Linked DNA regions of Anolis sagrei. The protein of the gene in region 2 interacts with the protein of the main gene of each other region in a pairwise test. Links are inferred from orthologs where the notes say so. Each region holds a gene or a part of one and is shown on either strand. Other genes may lie near its edges.

Region 1 (9,589 bases), on a different chromosome or scaffold from region 2:
GGTGATGGCACTCATCTGCATAGATGAAGCTCTCTGTCATTTCTGGCAGTGGCTGGTCATTTGTGTAAATGTTGAACATGGATGGAGCAAGCATGCTCCCCTGAGACAGGCCGTTCTTCTGTTTCCGCCATCTGCTTCTCTGGCCCTGGAACTCAACAAAAAAGCTCCTGTTTTTTTAGCAGGTTTCCTATGAGGCGGGTGAGGTGGTAGTCCTTTGTGATATTATACATTTTTCTCAGAAGGAGGCGGTGGTTTATAGTATCATAAGCTGCTGACAGGTCTATGAAGTCAGCACCTGTGATCTGCTGCTTTTCAAAGCCATCTTCTATGTACTGAGTCAGGTTCAGCACTTGCGATGTGCAGCTTTTGCCTTTCCTGAAGCCAGCTTGCTGTGGAATCAGACATGGGTCTATTTTTTCCATAATTCTATGCAAAGTAAGTCTCTCCAGGACTTTGTAAAGGTGGCACAACAGGGAGATTGGATCATTATGGTCTTTGCCTGGCTTCAAGATGGCGATACTCTTGCTTTCCTCCAGATTTTGGGGACCTGACAGGATGCAGTGCAGTTGTTCATGATTCTATGATTCTAGGAGCCTGAAAACGTGGCTGTTCCAGTATGCCTTCACTGAATAAAGGAAACAATGCCCTGTTCTGACCAATTCCCTGCAAAATGTCCTCAGAAGCACTTTATCTACCTGTTGGGTTGATCATAGAATCATAGAATCAAAGAGTTGGAAGAGACCTCATGGGCCATCCAGTCCAACCCCCTGCCAAGAAGCAGGGATATTGCATTCAAATCACCCCTCACAGATGGCCATCCAGCCTCTGTATAAAAGCTTCCAAAGAAGGAGCCTCCACCACGCTGAAAGCTCCACTGCTGAATGGCTCTCACAGTCAGGAAGTCCTTCCTTATGTTCAGATGGAATCTCCTTTCTTGTAGTTTGAAGCCATTGTTCCTTGTCCTAATCTCCATGGAAGCAGTAAACAAGCTTGCTCCCTCCTCCCTGTGGATTCCTCTCACATATTTATACATGGCTATTGTTCTGGTACAGCTGTACTAGGAGCTCCAACTTTATTTGCTTTGTATTAAATGTTTGATTGCAGTCCTAGGTTTCAGGGACTCTGCAGATAGGTGGCTTGTTTTGGTTGCAGTCATAGGGCAAGTCACCTGTCCATAATCGTTAAGTTTTGGTCCCGTCCCTTGCTCAGGGCAATTGGGAAGGGAAGGGAGCCATTTTTAGTTGGTCTCAGCAAGGTTAACTTATGTATAGGATGTGTGCAAGCTTCCCCTGTACAAAAGCTTCAACCTTTAAGAATTTCCAGGGAAACAGCCCTAAAGACCAAAGAACTCCAGCTGGAGAACATTTCCTGCCTTACTGGTAGGTCCACTTGGCGTTCGAGACGCAGTTCGACCCGGTAGCGGAGCCCACGTCAGTAAGGGTTAGATTACAGTCAGCCTGGGAGAAGTTAAAAAGGGGATTTTCCTTTAAAGAAGAAGTTATTGAAGACAGTTGCCTGTCCTTTGTGGGCAAGATTAGGAATTCACCAGTTGCCTAAAAGCTTGGAATCATTTGCTTAATTTTACTGAAGACAAGAGAAGTTTCTGTTTGATTGTTCATTAATAAAGGACTTTGTTGTACTTCACAAGCCATCTAAAGACTATTTGTGGTGAAACCCTCTGAGAACTTCTCTTTGGGCCCCCTGGCTTCCCGCTGGGCAAAGGTTGCAGATCCTATTCTAAAGACAATTATTTACAGGGCCAGCGCATGACCGAACAGTTATCATATCTCCTCTCATCCTTTTCTTCTTCAGTCTAAACATGCCCAGCTCCTTAAGCCGCTCCTCATACATTACTCTTTAAAAGCCACCTTCTTAGATATATCCGACCTCTGTTCATGTCCAGTGTTTGTTTTTTAAATTTTTAATCTATTACATCTGGCCTGCCCATAGTGTTTTAAATTTTTGTGTGTTACTGCTTACATGTTAGTTATACAGGGTTAGTCAAAATGCATAGGCCAATAAGCTATTCAATTGAATGGCTTATTGGCCTATGCATTTTGACTAACCCTGTATTATTTGTACTGTTTTATTTGCTTGTTGCTTTGTTGTTTTACTGATGTGTTGTTGGGCTTGGCCTCATGTAAGCCGCCCTGGGTCCCCTTGGGGAGATGGTGGCGGGGTATAAATAAAGTATTATTATTATTATTATTATCATTATTATTATTATATCTTATATGAATTTGGATACTGAGGCATAGCATCAGAACTGAGCCTCTCTCAGAGGAAATAGCCTATGTGCCAAAAGAGTGGAAAAGAGTATCTGGCTATGCTGGTGCTAAAATGAAAAGTCCTCAAGGTCTAATTTGAGCACAAGGGCAATTAGTTCCATGTTCCAAAGTAATCAAATAATCAATATGTACTTTTAAAGCAATTAAACCCTGATGAAAAACAAGGCTTTCAAAATAATAAAGGAGGAAAGAACTGACTTTGATATGGAGATAGAAAGGTTACAATGTGCTGGGCCTATCATATCTTGTCACATGGTACCACTATTACACAGGGAAAATGTGGTCCACTAAAATTTAATTATTTGCCTTGTTGGCATACCTGTTTCTGTAAAACCGTATTACCAGTCTATGAATGCTATTATTATGTTCAAATTAAATATAAGGAAGATATTTCTAAAACTTGGCAGAACATACACATACTTCCTCAGCTTATGATACTTCACACAAGATTCGTTCTTTCAAAACTTGACTTAATCTAAAACTATGATAGCTCTGTAATATCGCCAAAAGTTAAGCCTGATGAATCAGGCTTAACTATTAAGTCCAAGGACAAGCATTTTGTATATTTTTAAAAATGTTTGCCATTAGTGCACATTTTTGAAGTACAGTTATTAGCTTTTTGCACTTTATAGGCAGTATAACATTTTCTGTTTGTTAAAGTGTTGGTATTAATGTGAACAGTATTGGTTCACATATCACAATTCATTTTGGGGTGGCTTTGGACATATCAACACTGACTATTTAATACAGCTTTGGGATCAGTTTCAAAGTGCAGCATCTATACAATGCATGCTGAGAAAACACTGTAATGTGCTTCAAGCACTTTAAACTGATATAATTAAAGTCAGGGAATAATCTAAAACAGAGCCCCTAATATTTATATATAGTGCACTCTACTATAAACCACAGAGCCCCCGGTGGCGCAGTGGGTTAAAGCACTGAGCTGCTGAGCTTGTTGATCGAAAGGTCGCAGGTTCGATTCCGGGGAGCGGCGTGAGCTTCCGCTGTCAGCCCTAGCTTCTGCCAACCTAGCAGTTTGAAAACATGCAAATGTGAGTAGATCAATAGGTACCGCTCCGGTGGGAAGGTAACGGCGCTCCATGCAGTGCAAGGCCACATGACCTTGGAGGTGTCTACGGACAACGGTGGCTCTTCGGCTTAGAAATGGAGATGAGCACCACACCCCAGAGTCAGACATGACTGGACTTAATGTCAGGGGACAACCTTTACCTTTACCTACTATAAACCACATTACACAACATGTACTCCACTGATCAATATATGTGTATTCTGACAAAATGAGGTTTAAAAAACCCTGCATTGTTGGTGATTGTCAAATTCCAGATTCTGGAACTGGTTCGAGGTCCGCCTCTGTAGTGCATGTGAGCGTCATCCAGACCTCAAGCCAGTTTCGGGATTACTAGTTATTTATTTATTTCCAGTATTTTCTGCCCCGTCCTTCTCACCCCCCAAAGGGGAACTCAGGAAGGCACAATTTGATGCCATTAAATGTAATAAAGCAATATAACAACAATTACTAACCAAATTGTTCACACATTGAAATCACACTTTCTTTTATGCTGGCTCGAAGCTGACCCCAGTGGTCAGTGTAGATGTGCCCTCCAAGGTAATTTACTCAGCCCCAGCCCTAAACTTTAGACTAAGTCTGAAATGACTTGAAGGGACACAATAACAATCCTAATTAACTTGACAATCTCATCATCCAAAAGCAGGCCCACACTTCCCATTGAAATACTGGTAAGTTTATGTTGGTTAAAATTACTCTTCATTTTAAACACTGTATTGTTCTTTCATGGTTTTTTCACTACAAATAAGATATATACATAAGAATTTGTTCATGTTTTTCCTCAAACTGCCCCCCCCCCAATAGTCGAGGGACTGTGAATGGCCCTCTGCTTTAAAAGTTTCATTTCCTCTAAATTTTACTTTCTTTCCTTCAAAAATGGATGTTTAATTGGTAACACTGTTACTTCCTGGAAAGAAGTAACGAACGGAGTGCCGCAGGGCCCGGTCCTGTTCAACATCTTTATTAATGACTTAGATGAAGGGTTAGAAGGCATGATCATCAAGTTTGCAGATGACACCAATTTGGGAGAGATAGCCAATACTCGAAGACCGGAGTAGAATTCAAAACGATCTTAACAGATAAGAGAGATGGGCCAAAACTAACAAAATGAAGTTCAGTGGTGACAAATGCAAGATACTCCACAGGCAGAAAAAAATGAAATGCAAAGATACAGAATGGGGGACTCATGGCTCGAGAACAGTACGTGTGAAAAAGATCTTGGAGTCCTCGTGGACAACAAATTTAAACATGAGCCAACAATGTCATGCGGCGGCAAAAAAAAAAAAAGCCTTGGTTATACCACATCTGGAATACTGTGTCCAATTCACGGCACTACAATTTAAGGGAGATGTTGACAAGCTGGAATGTGTCCAGAGGAGGACGACTAAAGGGCTTGGTCTGGAGAACAAGCCCTATGAGGAGTGGTTTCAAAAGCTGGGCATGTTTGGCCTGAAGAAGATTGAGGGAAGACATGATAGCCAGGTATAAATATGTGAGAGGAAGTCATAGGGAGGAGGGAGCAAGCTTGTTTTCTGCTGCTGTGGAGACTAGGATGCGGAACAATGGCTTCAAACTATAAGAAAGGAAATTCCATCTGAACATTAGGAAGACCTTCCTGACTGTGAGAGCCATTCAGCAGTGGAACTCTCTGCCCCGGAGTGTGATGGAGGCTCATTCTTTGGAAGCTTTTAAGCAGAGACTGGATGGCCATCTGTCGGGAGTGCTTTGAATGCAATTTTCCTGCTTCTTGGCAGGGGGTTGGACTCTATGATTCTATGAAAAAGTGATGCCTTCTGCAGCATCCCTTGTTTGGATATCAGCCAGCACGTCAACGACTTAAATCAAGAAATAGTTTTCTAAGATCTACAGAGACACCTCAGCAAGCGAGTCCAAAAGTGGCAGGCTCAAACCCAGAACCTCAACCAATGTCTGATACCAAATGAGAGACTCCCCCCTGGGCACCTGAGATCAGATCCTGGAATATCGGGCCTGTCTGGAAGGGCCCTGAGTCCACACCCAACATTTAATCCAGTTCAATGTGGATTTTATAGAGCTGTGTGGAAGGGGCTTTTGTAACTATGGGCCAGAGTTGCTGTTTTTAGAAGAAGCAAGCCTGCACCGATACTAATATTGCACAAAAATATACATGACAGCCTTATAGGTAACACAGGCTAATTCATACTGACACTACTTTTCCCCTCTTCCTGTTTTTTGTTCGCTTTTGTATTCGTTCTCGCTGACTTCTCATAAGACTGCTATACAACCGGAAGCTGACATCAGTTGCCTGGCAACCGGACGCTCGAGAGCCAGCGTCAACTGTGGATGGCACATCTCCTCGGCCTCTGATTGGCTCCTCCGCCTGCGAGATGAGCGCGAGCTCAGCCGCGCGCTCCCCGTCTCCTAGCTCGAGGGGCGCCGCGTCCAACGGCGCTTTCTTCTCGAGGAGAGCGCATGCGCACTATTTGAAAATGATGGCCGCGGACGGGGCGCCGCTGACGGAGGAAGATGTTCGAGACAGGGTCAATCTGAGGCACCAGAATCTCGGTGACCGGCTGGTTTCTGGAGAGGGAGGCGGGCATGTACCCTCGAGGCTTAGTCAAGACTCCATAGCGGGGAGGGGGTGGCTTTTGAGGACGGCTAACAGTAGAGTAATGGTTGTTTATGGAAGGATACTTGGTCATAAAGGCATTGCTATCAGTGGAAGGCATTCCCCATCGAGATGACCCTGCTGTTTGTATTGTGTGTATGTACTTGCCTTCCTATTCTGACCATAACTTTTTCTTGTTCACACACACACACATACATATATATACATACATACAGTGTGAAGCAGCATAACCTCCCTTTTTCAAAACTTAATAAAACCCATTGTATGAATCAGAAAAAAAATGTAGGCCAAGCAGGGTCACCAAAGACAATCAGAAAACACATATTTCTGATGGTCGTAGGAACACAGTGCTATCCGGAGATAGGTGAACTACATCTCTCCTAAATCACTGCCAATTCCTCCCAAATCCCTGCAGTATTTTCTGTTAGTCATTGGTTCTGTGTGGGAAGTTTGGCCCAATTCTATTGTTGATGGGGTTCAAGTGGCTCTTTGATTGTAGGTGAACTATAAATCCCAGCAACTACAACTCCCAAATGTCAAGGCCTATTTTTTCCAAGCTCCACCAGTGTTCACATTTGGGCATATTGAGTATTTGTGCCAAGTTTGATCCAGATCCATCATTGTTTGAGTCCACAGTACTCTCTGGATGTAGGTGAACTACAACTCCAAAACTCAAAGTAAATGCCCACCAAAACCTTCCAGTATTTTCTGTTGGTGATGGGAGTTCTGTGGGCCAAGTGTGGTTTGATTCCATCATTGGTGGAGTTCAGAATGCTCTTTCATTGCAGGTGAACTATAAATCCCAGCAACTACAGCTTCCAGATGACAAAATCAATTTGCCCTCAATCAATCAATCAATCAATCAATCAATCAAAACTTTATTACAGTCCATGACCAGCACAAAGTGTATATACAAATCCAGATCACAAGATTGGGACCCAGTCCCGTACATTCACATCAAACCCAAAGGGTTATAGACTTCAAACTCCAACAATACAAAATTTGCCCTCAACCTGACCAGTATTCAAATTTGGGCGTATTGGATATTTATGCCAAATTTGGTCCAGTGAATTAAAATAATGTAAATATCAGATATTTACATTACGATTCATAACAGTAGCAAAATTGCAATTATGAAGTAGCAATGAAAATAATTTTATGATTGGAGGTCACCACAACATGAGGAACTGTACTAAGGGGTTGTGGCATTAGGAAGGTTGAGAATCACTGATGTAGGCACATACCTAAAGTTTTGTTTTACGTAGTTTTGAAGATCAAATTAGGTAGGTGACGTCCCTCATTCTCCATACACTGAGTAAACCGATTTCTGGCGTTTGTCATTACTCTTGCCAGCAGGCCCGTAGCCAGGATTTCGTTTCGGGGGGGGGGGGGGGGGGCTAAAAAAATTTTCAGGGGGGGTTTCGGGGGGGGGGCCTGAGTTTCGGGGGGGCTGAGTTTCGGGGGGGGGGCTGAGTCTGAGTGAAAGAGGGTCTAGCCTAGCAAACCTTTTGTATCATTACCCCAATGCCCCCATGCATATGGGATATATTGAGTATGGTGATCAGATCATAGAATCATAGAATCAAAGAGTCGGAAGAGACCTCATGATATGAATAAACATAACAGTTTAAATAATGCACCAGTAAGGCATTTTCGCGAACCACCATGATAATTTCGGGGGGGGGGCTGAAGCCCCCCCGAGCCCCCCCCCCCCCCCCCGCCTACATGCCTGCTTGCCAGCATAGCAGGAGTTATGTTTGAGAGGCGGGAGTATAAAGTTTTGTCCTAACAGTTCAGTTGCCATCATGAGTTGGAACAGATTTGGCCCCTTGTGATTTTTTTCTATGGGGTTTTTGAAATCCCGTGTTTATGTGAACCGTCCAAGGACCCTACAAGATTTGAAGAACAACATCAAGGAAGAAATTGCCAACATAACACCTGCTATGCTGGCAAGAGTCATAACAAACGCCAGAAATCGGTTTACTCAGTGTATGGAGAATGGGGAACATCACCTACCTAATTTGATCTTCAAAACTACATAAAACAAAACTTTAGATATGCGCCTACATTATAAAAAAATAAAAATTTCTGATTCATACAATGGGTTTTATTAAGTTTTGAAAAAAGGAAGTTATGCTGCCTCACTCTGTATGTCTGTTGAAATCTTTAGGTATGCATGCCAGCCACATCTGAGGTCATGGCCCTCTAGGTTGAGTAGATTTTGGTTCTCTAGTGTTATCCAGTTTTTCAACCAGTGTATCCTGCTGCTTCATGGTAATATCTGAAATCTGGTAGGTTCAAACCCCCTCTCTCTTTCCCATCAATTACGTTTCTGTACGCAATCCTGGCTCTTTCCCTGCCCAGAGAAATCTGGTAAGATCCTTTTCCCAATGTGAATATTGTACAGAAATTAAGGAAATTGTGTGCATGGTTAAAGATAAAGATATAGGGTAAATATGTGATCACAGGGAATGGTGATGGGGGGTTGGGATTAGGGGTGTTAACAATACAAAATGTCATCGAAGAGAAGGATGTATGAAAAAGAAGGTGCAGACAAAAGGAATGTTATATAAAATGAAGTGTGTATAAGTATGAGCACCAATTGAAACTAAGCGTGAGCAAGATGTTGTAATGTCGAAACAATAAAAATATTGTGGAGAAGAAAAAGTTCCAGTTCAAAGTAGATAATCTGGATTTTTGATGCAGTGTAAAAGGGGCTCTATACACATTATGAACAGGTATCTACTAAAACTACTCTACGGCTCCTTCCACTCAGCTGTATAGAATCCACATTGAACTGGATTATATGGTGGTGTGGACTCAGCTAATCCAGTTCAAAGCAGATATTGTTGATTATCTACTTTGATATTCTGGGTTATATGGCTGTATGGAAGGGTCCTACGGGCCTCCCTCTATGAGCTCTCTGATTTTAGCTACCTATTTGTTACTCCGTTTAAGCGTCATTTCTTCCCTCTACTTTTAATATCATTTTGTAAATAAAAATTATACTAATTAAAGATTATCCCCATTTTATCTTTAAACAAAGGATAGTAAAAGGATAGTAAATGCAGACTGTGGCCAGGAAATCAGAAGACGCTTACTTCTTGGGAGGAGAGCAATGTCCAATCTCGATAAAATAGTAAAGAGTAGAGACATCAGATTGGCAACAAAGATCCGCCTAGTCAAAGCCATGGTATTCCCTGTTGTCACCTACGGATGTGAGAGCTGGACCTTAGGGAAGGCTGAGCGAAGGAAGATCGATGCTTTTGAGCTGTGGTGTTGGAGGAAAGTTCTGAGAGTGCCTTGGACTGCGAGAAGATCCAACCAGTCCATCCTCCAGGAAATAAAGCCTGACTGCTCACTGGAGGGAAAGATACTAGAGACAAAGTTGAAGTACTTTGGTCACATCATGAGGAGACAGGAAAGCCTAGAGAAGACAATTATGCTGGGGAAAGTGGAAGGCAAAAGGAAGAGGGGCCGACCAAGGACAAGATGGATGGATGGCATCCTTGAAGTGACTGGACTGACCTTGAGGGAGCTGGGGGTGGTAACGGCCGACAGGGAGCTCTGGCGTGGGCTGGTCCATGAGGTCACGAAGAGTCGGAG
Region 2 (9,610 bases):
TATATATGGAAACACACATAGACACATATACACAAATATATACACACAAAACATATACACAGACTGGGCCACAACAATGTGTGGCAGGGGACATAATGAAGATGATGATGATGATGATGATGATGATGATGATGATGATGTATTGTCGAAGGCTTTCATGGCCGGAATGACTGGGTTGTTGTAGGTTTTTTGGGGGCTATATGGCCATATTCTAAAGGCATTTTCTCCTGACATTTCGCCTGCATCTATGGCAAGCATCCTCAGAGGTAGTGAGGTCTGTTGGAACTAGGAAAAAGGGTTTATTTATTTATTTATTTATTACAGTTACTTTTGCTCCGCCCTTCTCAACCTCCTAGGGGGGACTCAAGGTGGCTTGCAAAAAAGGCACTATTCGATGCCTACATAGAGTACATATATACATAGAGTACATAGAGTTTATATATCTGTGGAATAACCAGGGTCGGACAAAGGACTCTGATGAGGAAACACAACATACAAACTATCTGCAGACCCACCAAGAAAATCCAACAAATGCTATGTTCAGCAAAGGACAAGAGGGATCCTCTCGCTTCTGCAGGAGTCTACCATGTACCGTGGAGCTGTGGACAGGTCTACATAGGGACCACCAAAAGCAGCATTGCCCAAACACGAATCAAGGAACATGAAAGGCACTGCAGACTACTTCCACCAGAGAAATCAGCCATAGCAGAGCACCTTGTGAACCAACCTGCACAGCATATTATTTGAGAACACAGAAATGCTGGACCACACCAACAACCACCATGTCAGACTACACAGAGAAGCCATTGAAATCCACAAGCATAAAATATATGTGTGTGCAGGGCCGTAGCCAGAAAAAAATTTCAGGGAGGGTTGAAAATTTCAGGGAGGGGTTGAACATTTCAGGAGGGGGGTAGGAAATTGGGGGGGGGGGTTGAAACCTGCCTCCTAGCTCACACTGAAGCAAAGATCAAAGCAGGGGCAGAGCAGCCTTCAATAGCCTGCAGCTCCGCCCTTGTCAACCACCTCCACCAAGTCTGGCCTCCTTAACGAGAGCATTCAACACCCCCCACCCCCAACTTGGTTGCTTCGCTACATCGGCTATTGCTGCAAGTAATGACTGTGTGAATAAATTGTCAATATTTGCTTGAGATAGTGCTTGCAGTTCTGGAGGGACTTTTAATTTTTTGCATCTCATAGACTTAGCATGGGAATTTGGTTAGCCATGAGTTAAAATTCATGAGGAAACCAGGTTTATTTTTTTAACCTGTAAAATTTCGGGTTAAATTTCGGCTACAGATGCTTGAGGTTAAGATTGATTTAAAGCCAGAACTTTTTTTTATTAGGAATTATAGAGGAAGACCTGGAAATAAATAAAGAAAAACTCCTAATTTACTTAATAACTGCAGTCAGAATCTGCTACATTATTTATTTGTCGTGTCAGGGCAACCAGTCAATTGTATTACATTTCTAACAGGACAAAACAGACATGCAGACAAAATACAAAGTTTGTGAGTTTGGTAGTTGATTAAATGTCCTTTGACCAGTATCTGGCCACTTGGAGTGCTTCTGGTGTTGCTGCAAGAAGGTCCTCCATTGTGCATATAGCAGGGCTCAGGTTGCATTGCAGCAGGTAGTCAGTGGTTTGCTCTCCTCCACACTAGCATGTCGTGGATTCCACTTTGTAGCCCCATTTCTTAAGGTTGGCTCTGCATCTTGTGGTGCCAGAGCGCAGTCTGTTCAGCGCCCTCCAAGTCGCCCAGTCTTCTGTGTGCCCAGGGGGAAGTCTCTCATTTAGTATCAGCCATTGGTTGAGTTTCTGGGTTTGAGCCTGCCACTTTTGGACTCTCACTTGCTGAGGTGTTCCAGCGAGTATCTCCATAGATCTTAGAAAACTATTTCTAGATTTAAGTCGTTGACGTGCTGGCTGATACCGAAACGGGATGAGCTGGAGATGTCTCTGCCTTGGTCCTTTCACTATTGGCTGCTACTTCCCGGCAGGTGTCAGGTGGTGCAATACCGGCTAAGCAGTGTAATTTCTCCAGTGGTGTAGGGCGCAGACACCCTGTGATAATGCGGCATGTCTGCTACATGAGGCATTGGAGAACCAAGGAGATCCCCACACAAGAACAATGGCTTCTCAAGATAATACATATTATGAATATGGATAGACTAACACAGTTGTTGAAGGCGAACCAAACGATGAAGATAATACAAACAGATTGGTCCCCGGTAAGGAACTACTTAATCCAAAAAAACTATAAATGGATAATAAATACAGAATGATAACTTTAAAAAAATGATTAGAAAATTGGATCAGATGCAAAAGGGCTAGCCACTTATCTGGAAAATTGACTTATGAGACTCTGAAGCCAAAGATGGAGAGGACTGGAAGCCAGCAGCTTTCTCTACCATCCCTCCACTTCCCCATTTCCCACCCCCCTCCTACCTCCCCTATACCCATTTCCAGGCTGATGTGGCCTCCAAGAAAATGAGTTTTGACACATAAGATGCAGTTCTCCGAAGCGGTTTTCCCAAAGCAATCTATCTATCTATCTATCTATCTATCTATCTATCTATCTATCTATCTATCTATATGCTCTGTGCATAATGAGTACCTTAAAAACAAAAGAACCAATGAACAAAATCACACCAAATTTGGCAACAAAACGTCTCACAACACAAGGAGTGACCATCACGCAAAAAATTATGATTTTGTCATTTGGGAGTTGTAGTTGCTGGGATTTATAGTTCACCTATAATCAAAGAGCATTCTGGACTCCACCAATGATGGAATTGAACCAAACTTGACACACAGAACTCCCCTGACCAACAGAAAACACTAGAAGGGTTTGGTGGGCATTAACCTTGAGTTTTGGAGTTTTGGTTCACCTACATCTAGTGAGCATTGTGGGCTCAAACAATGATGGATCTGGACCAAACTTGGCACGAATACTCAATATGCCCAAATATAAACACAGATGGAGTTTGGGGAAAATAGACCTTGAAATTTGGGAGTTGTAGTTACTGGGATTTATAGTTCACCTACAATCAAGGAGCATTCTGAACCCCACTAATGACAGAATTGGGGCAAACTTCCCACACAGAACCCTCATGACCAACAGAAAATACTGTTTTCTTGTGGTCTTCTGACACCTCCTTGCAACCCCCCCCCCCCCCCAGGGGTCCCAAACCCCAGGTTGAGAAATGCTGCCTTAAAGCCATCCAGTCCAACTCCCTTCACCAGGGCAAGAAAACATAATCAAGCCCTCCTGACAAAGGGCCATCCTGCCATTCACACACACACACATATATCTTCAAGAAGGGAAAAAAGGATGACCCAAACAACTACCGTCCGGTCAGCCTCACGTCAATACCAGGCAAAATTCTGGAAAAGATTGTTAAGGAAGCGGTCTGCAAACACTTAGAAACAAATGCAGCCATCGCTAATAGCCAACATGGATTTATCAAAAACAAGTCATGCCAGACTAATCTGATCTCTTTCTTCGATAGAGCTACAAGCTGGGCAGATGCGGGGAATACCGTGGATGTAGCGTACCTGGATTTCAGTAAGGCCTTCGACAAGGTCCCCCATGACCTTCTGGCAAGGAAACTAGTCCAATGTGGGCTAGGCAAAACTACGGTGAGGTGGATCTGTAATTGGTTAAGTGGACGAACACAGAGAGTGCTCACGAATGTTTCCTCTTCATCTTGGAAAGAAGTGACAAGTGGAGTGCCGCAGGGTTCCGTCCTGGGCCCGGTCCTGTTCAACATCTTTATTAATGACTTAGATGAAGGGCTAGAAGGCATGATCATCAAGTTTGCAGACGACACCAAATTGGGAGGGATAGCCAATAGTCCAGAGGACAGGAGCAGAATTCAAAATGATCTTGACAGATTAGAGAGATGGGCCAAAACTAACAAAATGAAGTTCAACAGTGACAAATGCAAGATACTCCACTTTGGCAGAAAAAATGAAATGCAAAGATACAGAGCGGAGTGCCGCAGGGTTCCGTCCTGGGCCCGGTCCTGTTCAACATCTTTATTAATGACTTAGACGAAGGGCTAGAAGGCAGGATCATCAAGTTTGCAGACGACACCAAATTGGGGGGGGGGGGGGGGATAGCCAATACTCCAGAGGACAGGAGCAGGACTCAAAACGATCTTGATAGATTAGAGAGATGGGCCAAAACTAACAAGATGAAGTTCAACAGGGACAAATGCAAGATACTCCACTTTGGCAGGAAAAACGAAATGCAAAGATAAAAAATGGGGGATGCCTCACTCGAGAGCAGTACGTGTGAAAAAGATCTTGGAGTCCTCGTGGACAACAAGTTAAACATGAGCCAACAATGTGATGTGGCGGCAAAAAAAGCCAATGGGATTTTGGCCTGCATCAATAGGAGCATAGTGTCTAGATCTAGGGAAGTCATGCTACCCCTCTATTCTGTCTTGGTTAGACCACATCTGGAATATTGTGTCCAATTCTGGGCACCACAATTGAAGAGAGATATTGACAAGCTGGAATGTGTCCAGAGGAGGGCGACTAAAATGCTCAAGGGTCTGGAGAACAAGCCCTATGAGGAGCGGCTTAGGGAACTGGGCATGTTTAGCCTGAAGAAGAGAAGGCTGAGAGGAGATATGATAGCCATTATGTGAGAGGAAGCCACAGGGAGGAGGGAGCAAGCTTGTTTTCTGCTTCCTTGGAGACTAGGACACGGAACAATGGCTTCAAACTACAAGAGAGGAGATTCCATCTGAACATGAGGAAGAACTTCCTGACTGTGAGAGCCGTTCAGCAGTGGAACTCTCTGCCCCGGAGTGTGGTGGAGGCTCCTTTTTTGGAAGCTTTTAAACAGAGTCTGGATGGCCATCTGTCAGGGGTGATTTGAATGCAATATTCCTGCTTCTTGGCAGGGGGTTGGACTGGATGGCCCATGACATCTCTCCCAACTCTTTGATTCTATGTGTAGGACAGATGCAGTATCAAAGATTTGAAAGGGAAGGACGATATGTTCCATGTTCCAGAGTAGGCAAACCAGATATCAACACTGGCAAAGAAAGAGCAAGAAATACTGTTTACCCACAAGCATAAAGACATCACATATATTAGAAACCAACACTTTCTCATTACTTTATTTCCCAGATCACCAAATTGGGCCATAGCAACGCATTACAGGGGATTGCTAGTGCTTCATATTTTCTCGCATGTTTTGAGGTTTAATTCCATTCTGAGGCTGATCTCCCATCCAAGTACCATCTAGGACAGACCCAGCTTAACTAAGCTAAGAGGGGATCTCTTGCTAATCAGCAAAAGGGGCATCTCCTTTAAGATCCGCATACACGCCTAGCTCTACTGTCCTGCAAAATGAATCAAGGAAGACCTTCCGAGCATGCGCATTGTGCACCCCGCCCTTCATTCCAGAGACAGAGACGGGCGAGCTGGCGACGCTTCAGCTTCCGGGTTGAATCGGATGGGCGGTGATGGGGGCGGGGCTACGGAGGGTTGGAATTTTGGCGGGTGATTGGGAGGAAGCGAGCAGATGGCGCCAAAGGAGGAGAGAGGAGGAGGAAGGTAAGAAGGCCTGGATAGAAAGGAAGGAAGGAAGGAAGGAAGGAAGGGAGGGAGGGAGGGAGGAAGGAAGGAAGGAAGGAAGGAAGGGAGAAAGGGAGAAAGGGAGAAAGGGAGAAAGAAAGAAAGGATCCCCATTACAGGATTGGAAAAGGATATCATCTGGGTTGCTCCAAAAAGGTGGGGTTCGGTTCTGGGGCTCTGATTTTGGGAGGAAAAAGGGACCACCAAAAAAAGAGGGAGAGACCAAATAATAACAACATTAATCATGATGATCCCCATAATTGTGTAATTAGTTATTTATTCCTTAATAAGTATTCATTATGGATATTGTGTAGATGTGTGTTCTTGTCTATATGCATATTTGTGTTTATATGTGTGTATATGTATGTGTGCATGTGTATATTTGTGTGTGTGTGTGTATATTTGTATGTGTTTGGGTATATATATATAGTAGTAGTAATTTTTATTGATTAGCCCTTAGGCCATATCACAATAAGAAACAGAACAACAAGGCCTGACAAGACCTTATCACACTCCACATAATAAGTTAAAATAAGACACTTATAACAATACAGTAAATAAATATGATAAAACTGATAAACTGATCAATAGGGCTCTACAGGCCAATGGATACTCCACCTCAAACATTCTGGGTTTGAGACTGCCACTTTTGGACTCTCGCTTGCTGAGGTGTTCCAGCGAGGGTCTCTGTAGATCTTAGAAAACTATTACTCCAATCAGCCCTACATATGTGGTTCTCAGACGTATTGTTTTGCTTAAGTACAGAGCTGTTTTATATTATTTTTGGGTCTTGGCCACACATAAAATATGTTGTTCTGATGTGGGATTCCCAATACATTGTCCGTTTGATATATGGACCAAGGTGGAAGTCTCTCACCTTTTGATACAATTTGCAATCAAACAATATGTGTGCTATATCCTCAATTTCAGGTGCCCCGCAGATACAACTCCGTTCATTATAAGGGATGCTGTTAAATCTCCCGTATCTAACCATTGTCTCGAGCTGATCAAATCTGGCTCGAGTGAATACCTCCCTAAGATGTTTTGGTATTTGCATTTTTAGGTAGTTAGCAATTTGAAAGGTACGTTTATATTGACAGCCATTTTAGGTTAGCAGTCTTATTGAGGGTGGCTATATCTTTTTGTGCTTCTATATCCAAAATTCGTTGTATGGCACCCTTTCTTGGATTACACAACTGACAAATTATATAAGAAGTTGTGGGCTTCCTGTCTCCTGCGCCTCAAATGACAAAGTAAGAAAGGGTATATATATGTGTGTATGCGTATGTATGAGTGTGTGTATGGTGTATTTTAGGGGGTTTTTTAGTCCGTTCTGCTGTGGATATTTTAAAAAATATATATTTTAGGGGTGTTGAACACTCGTTGGACTGTTAGGTGTATTGTGTCAAAATTTGGTGTCAATTCGTCCAGTGGTTTCTGAGTTATGTTAATCCCACAAACGAACATTACAGTTTTATTTATGTAGATGTATAATTAACATTTAATAAATATTATTATGATAATAGAAATAATATTTTGCTGTTATTACTTTCATATTCATTTTCTCAGGATTGAGGCCCGAAACAGCTTGCAACTTTAAAAAGTAATACGATTAAAAATACACAGACCTTGGAGTTTGTACCAGTTTCCCAATTTTGGGCGTGAACTCATAACAAAAGACTCTCTAGAAGTCAACAATTCTTTTGTGAAGTGTCTGCTGGTGCAGCTCATGACATGGATGGTAAGTTCTGTACGTATTGTTTAAAACATATTAATTATCCTGTTACCTTTAACACTGTGCTTTTCAGGTACTATGCAAACTTATTTTCTGCTCCTGGAGCCAACAGAAGCAGAGATGGTTTTCAGATTTAGTGTAATAGAATCTAGAATTGGAAGAGTCCACATGGACTATCTAGTCCAACCCCCTGCCATGCAGGAAAAGCACAATCGAAGCACCCCCTACAGATGGCCATCTAGCCTCCATTCAAAAACTTCCAGGGAGCATTAATCACTATAGAAGTGGAGTGTTGTTCAGGTGGAGTTACTGTTATAACTTGGATAATTTGTACAATTTGTTAATTGAATTGCAGTATTTACCATTAAAAATGATAAGTTTCTAATTAAGAAAATGCAAGCTGTTGACAGTGATGTTTGTGATGAGCCACATAGAGCAGCTAACAGGAATCCAGATCAAGTAAAGATTATATAAAACCTGTGTGTGGGTGTATGTATATATATAGTATGAAACGCTTATAATAAGCAGTCTTATTTTAGATTTTCAGTGGCACCTATCTCATGCCAATAAGAAAAAAAAAAGATGACATTCCAACTGAAATGTCATGCTTTTGTAAAAAGCCAACTGCATAGCCAGCTTCTGCTTATGGTTTAAATCTTTTGAATGCTCCCTTTTCCTCCTGTAATATAAACACATCATGTCTTCCACCAGAGATTTTACATGACATGGAATTTTTGCGAATTATAATCTGGCCCGCCAACAGTTTGAGGGACTGTGACCTGGCCCTCTGTTCAAAAAGTTTGCGGACCCCTGTTTTAAACAGTTCAGATGGGATCCTGTCATCTCCTGCTGCCTTGTTGTTAGCAATGCTTCTTAAGGCCCATTCAACCTCACTCCTCGGGATGTCTAGTTCTAATTCATTCACCATGTTATGGTGAATGTTATGGTACTCTAAATACAGTGTTATGTATTTAGATATCTTGTGTTTGGGTTTGTTATAACATTGATCTGGTTTTTTTTTCCATTTCTTTCCAGACAGTGATAGCTTAGACCTGTTGGCCTCCCTCTTGGAGGAGAATGAGGCCACTGCAGAGCCCGTTTCCGGAGAGAAGAGCACAGATAATGTAGCCGTGGCAAGTGATCCTGATGATTATGACAAGCTCTTTGACGAAGAAGATGAAGAGTCCTACACTGAGGAGGTGGAGGGCAAGGAAGAGGAATCCAGTGGCCATGAGGAAAGTGTGGCTGAGTTGTTTGGAGATGTGGGAGACCTCTCAGAAGAGGAACAGGAGAAGGAAACTGTGCCAGGAACACCTCTTTCCTCAGCTGTTGATCAAGCAAAGGAGGCCACCAATCAAGCCCTGCAAGGTTTCTTGAAATGTTGTTATATTTGTAATGGCTGCTCAAATACAAAGCTTTTATAGTAAGCATAACTAGCATTCCAAACAACAGTAGTGCATGGTTGATCCAGGTATTGCTGCCCTTGCAGTTCTCATGCTTCTTTAATATAATTTGATGCTTTAAACAACTTGTGGTCCATGAGTGGCAAAAAGAGAAAAGAATACCTTATTTTGGGCCTGCCAACTTCTGACCTCCATGAAGCATTCTGTAGTCCCTGACAGAAAGAAAAAAGGTTCCTTGTCCCAGTTTAGGTTAGAAGAAGTGCTGGTCTGAAGCAGTGTAAAAACAGTACAGTATTCCCTCACTTATTGTGGGTGTTACATTCCAGAGCCACCCATTCCAGAACCATTCCAGAACCATCGAGTCCACAGAAAGCGAACCACGAAGTAGCAAGGGAAAACTGTATTATGTGATATTACACTATATAACACAATTTTTGTTCTTGAGTTATAGATGTCCTATCCTAATTGGTTCTATCATAAAAACATGGGGAAAGTTTATTAAACTGCAAAAACTTTGTTTTTGTGGGACATCCTGCAGCACATTTCTCTAAAAGTTTTTCAGTGAACATCTTGCAGAGTCTCAACCAAATCCACATAGTTTGTGGCAGCCACAAAAACGAGGTTTCTGGAGTATAAAAAACTACTTTCGAAGTAAGTCCAGCACAATTAAACAGGAATAATATTTTTAAAACAAAATTTTCAAATTACGAAGTGCACATTAGAGCAAATCGTAGTAAATATTTTTTTTGGAAAGCGTTACAACAGATCTAGAATTTGAATCTTCATGTCTTCAGTTTCTTGCTTCCTTTTTATTTTTGCTAACACAGTATGGTCCTCGAATACACAGAGCTGGTATCAGCAATTTCATTTATCAGT

What was found.
Region 1: the proteins of MCM10 (region 2) and CEP72 interact in a two-hybrid assay, tested with the Homo sapiens proteins (2 studies listed by BioGRID and IntAct). The two-hybrid records come from large-scale screens. The link is inferred for Anolis sagrei from reciprocal best matches to the Homo sapiens genes MCM10 and CEP72.

The regions. Positions count from the first base shown.
Region 1 is NC_090026.1:60,066,924-60,076,512, forward strand, and holds the start of CEP72 (centrosomal protein of 72 kDa), read left to right. Parts: upstream 1-5,927; 5' UTR 5,928-6,036; coding exon 6,037-6,118; intron 6,119-9,589. UniProt on the Homo sapiens protein: Involved in the recruitment of key centrosomal proteins to the centrosome.
Region 2 is NC_090025.1:92,656,605-92,666,214, forward strand, and holds the start of MCM10 (protein MCM10 homolog), read left to right. Parts: upstream 1-5,496; 5' UTR 5,497-5,575; intron 5,576-7,165; 5' UTR 7,166-7,330; coding exon 7,331-7,337; intron 7,338-8,366; coding exon 8,367-8,699; intron 8,700-9,610. UniProt on the Homo sapiens protein: Acts as a replication initiation factor that brings together the MCM2-7 helicase and the DNA polymerase alpha/primase complex in order to initiate DNA replication. Additionally, plays a role in preventing DNA damage during replication.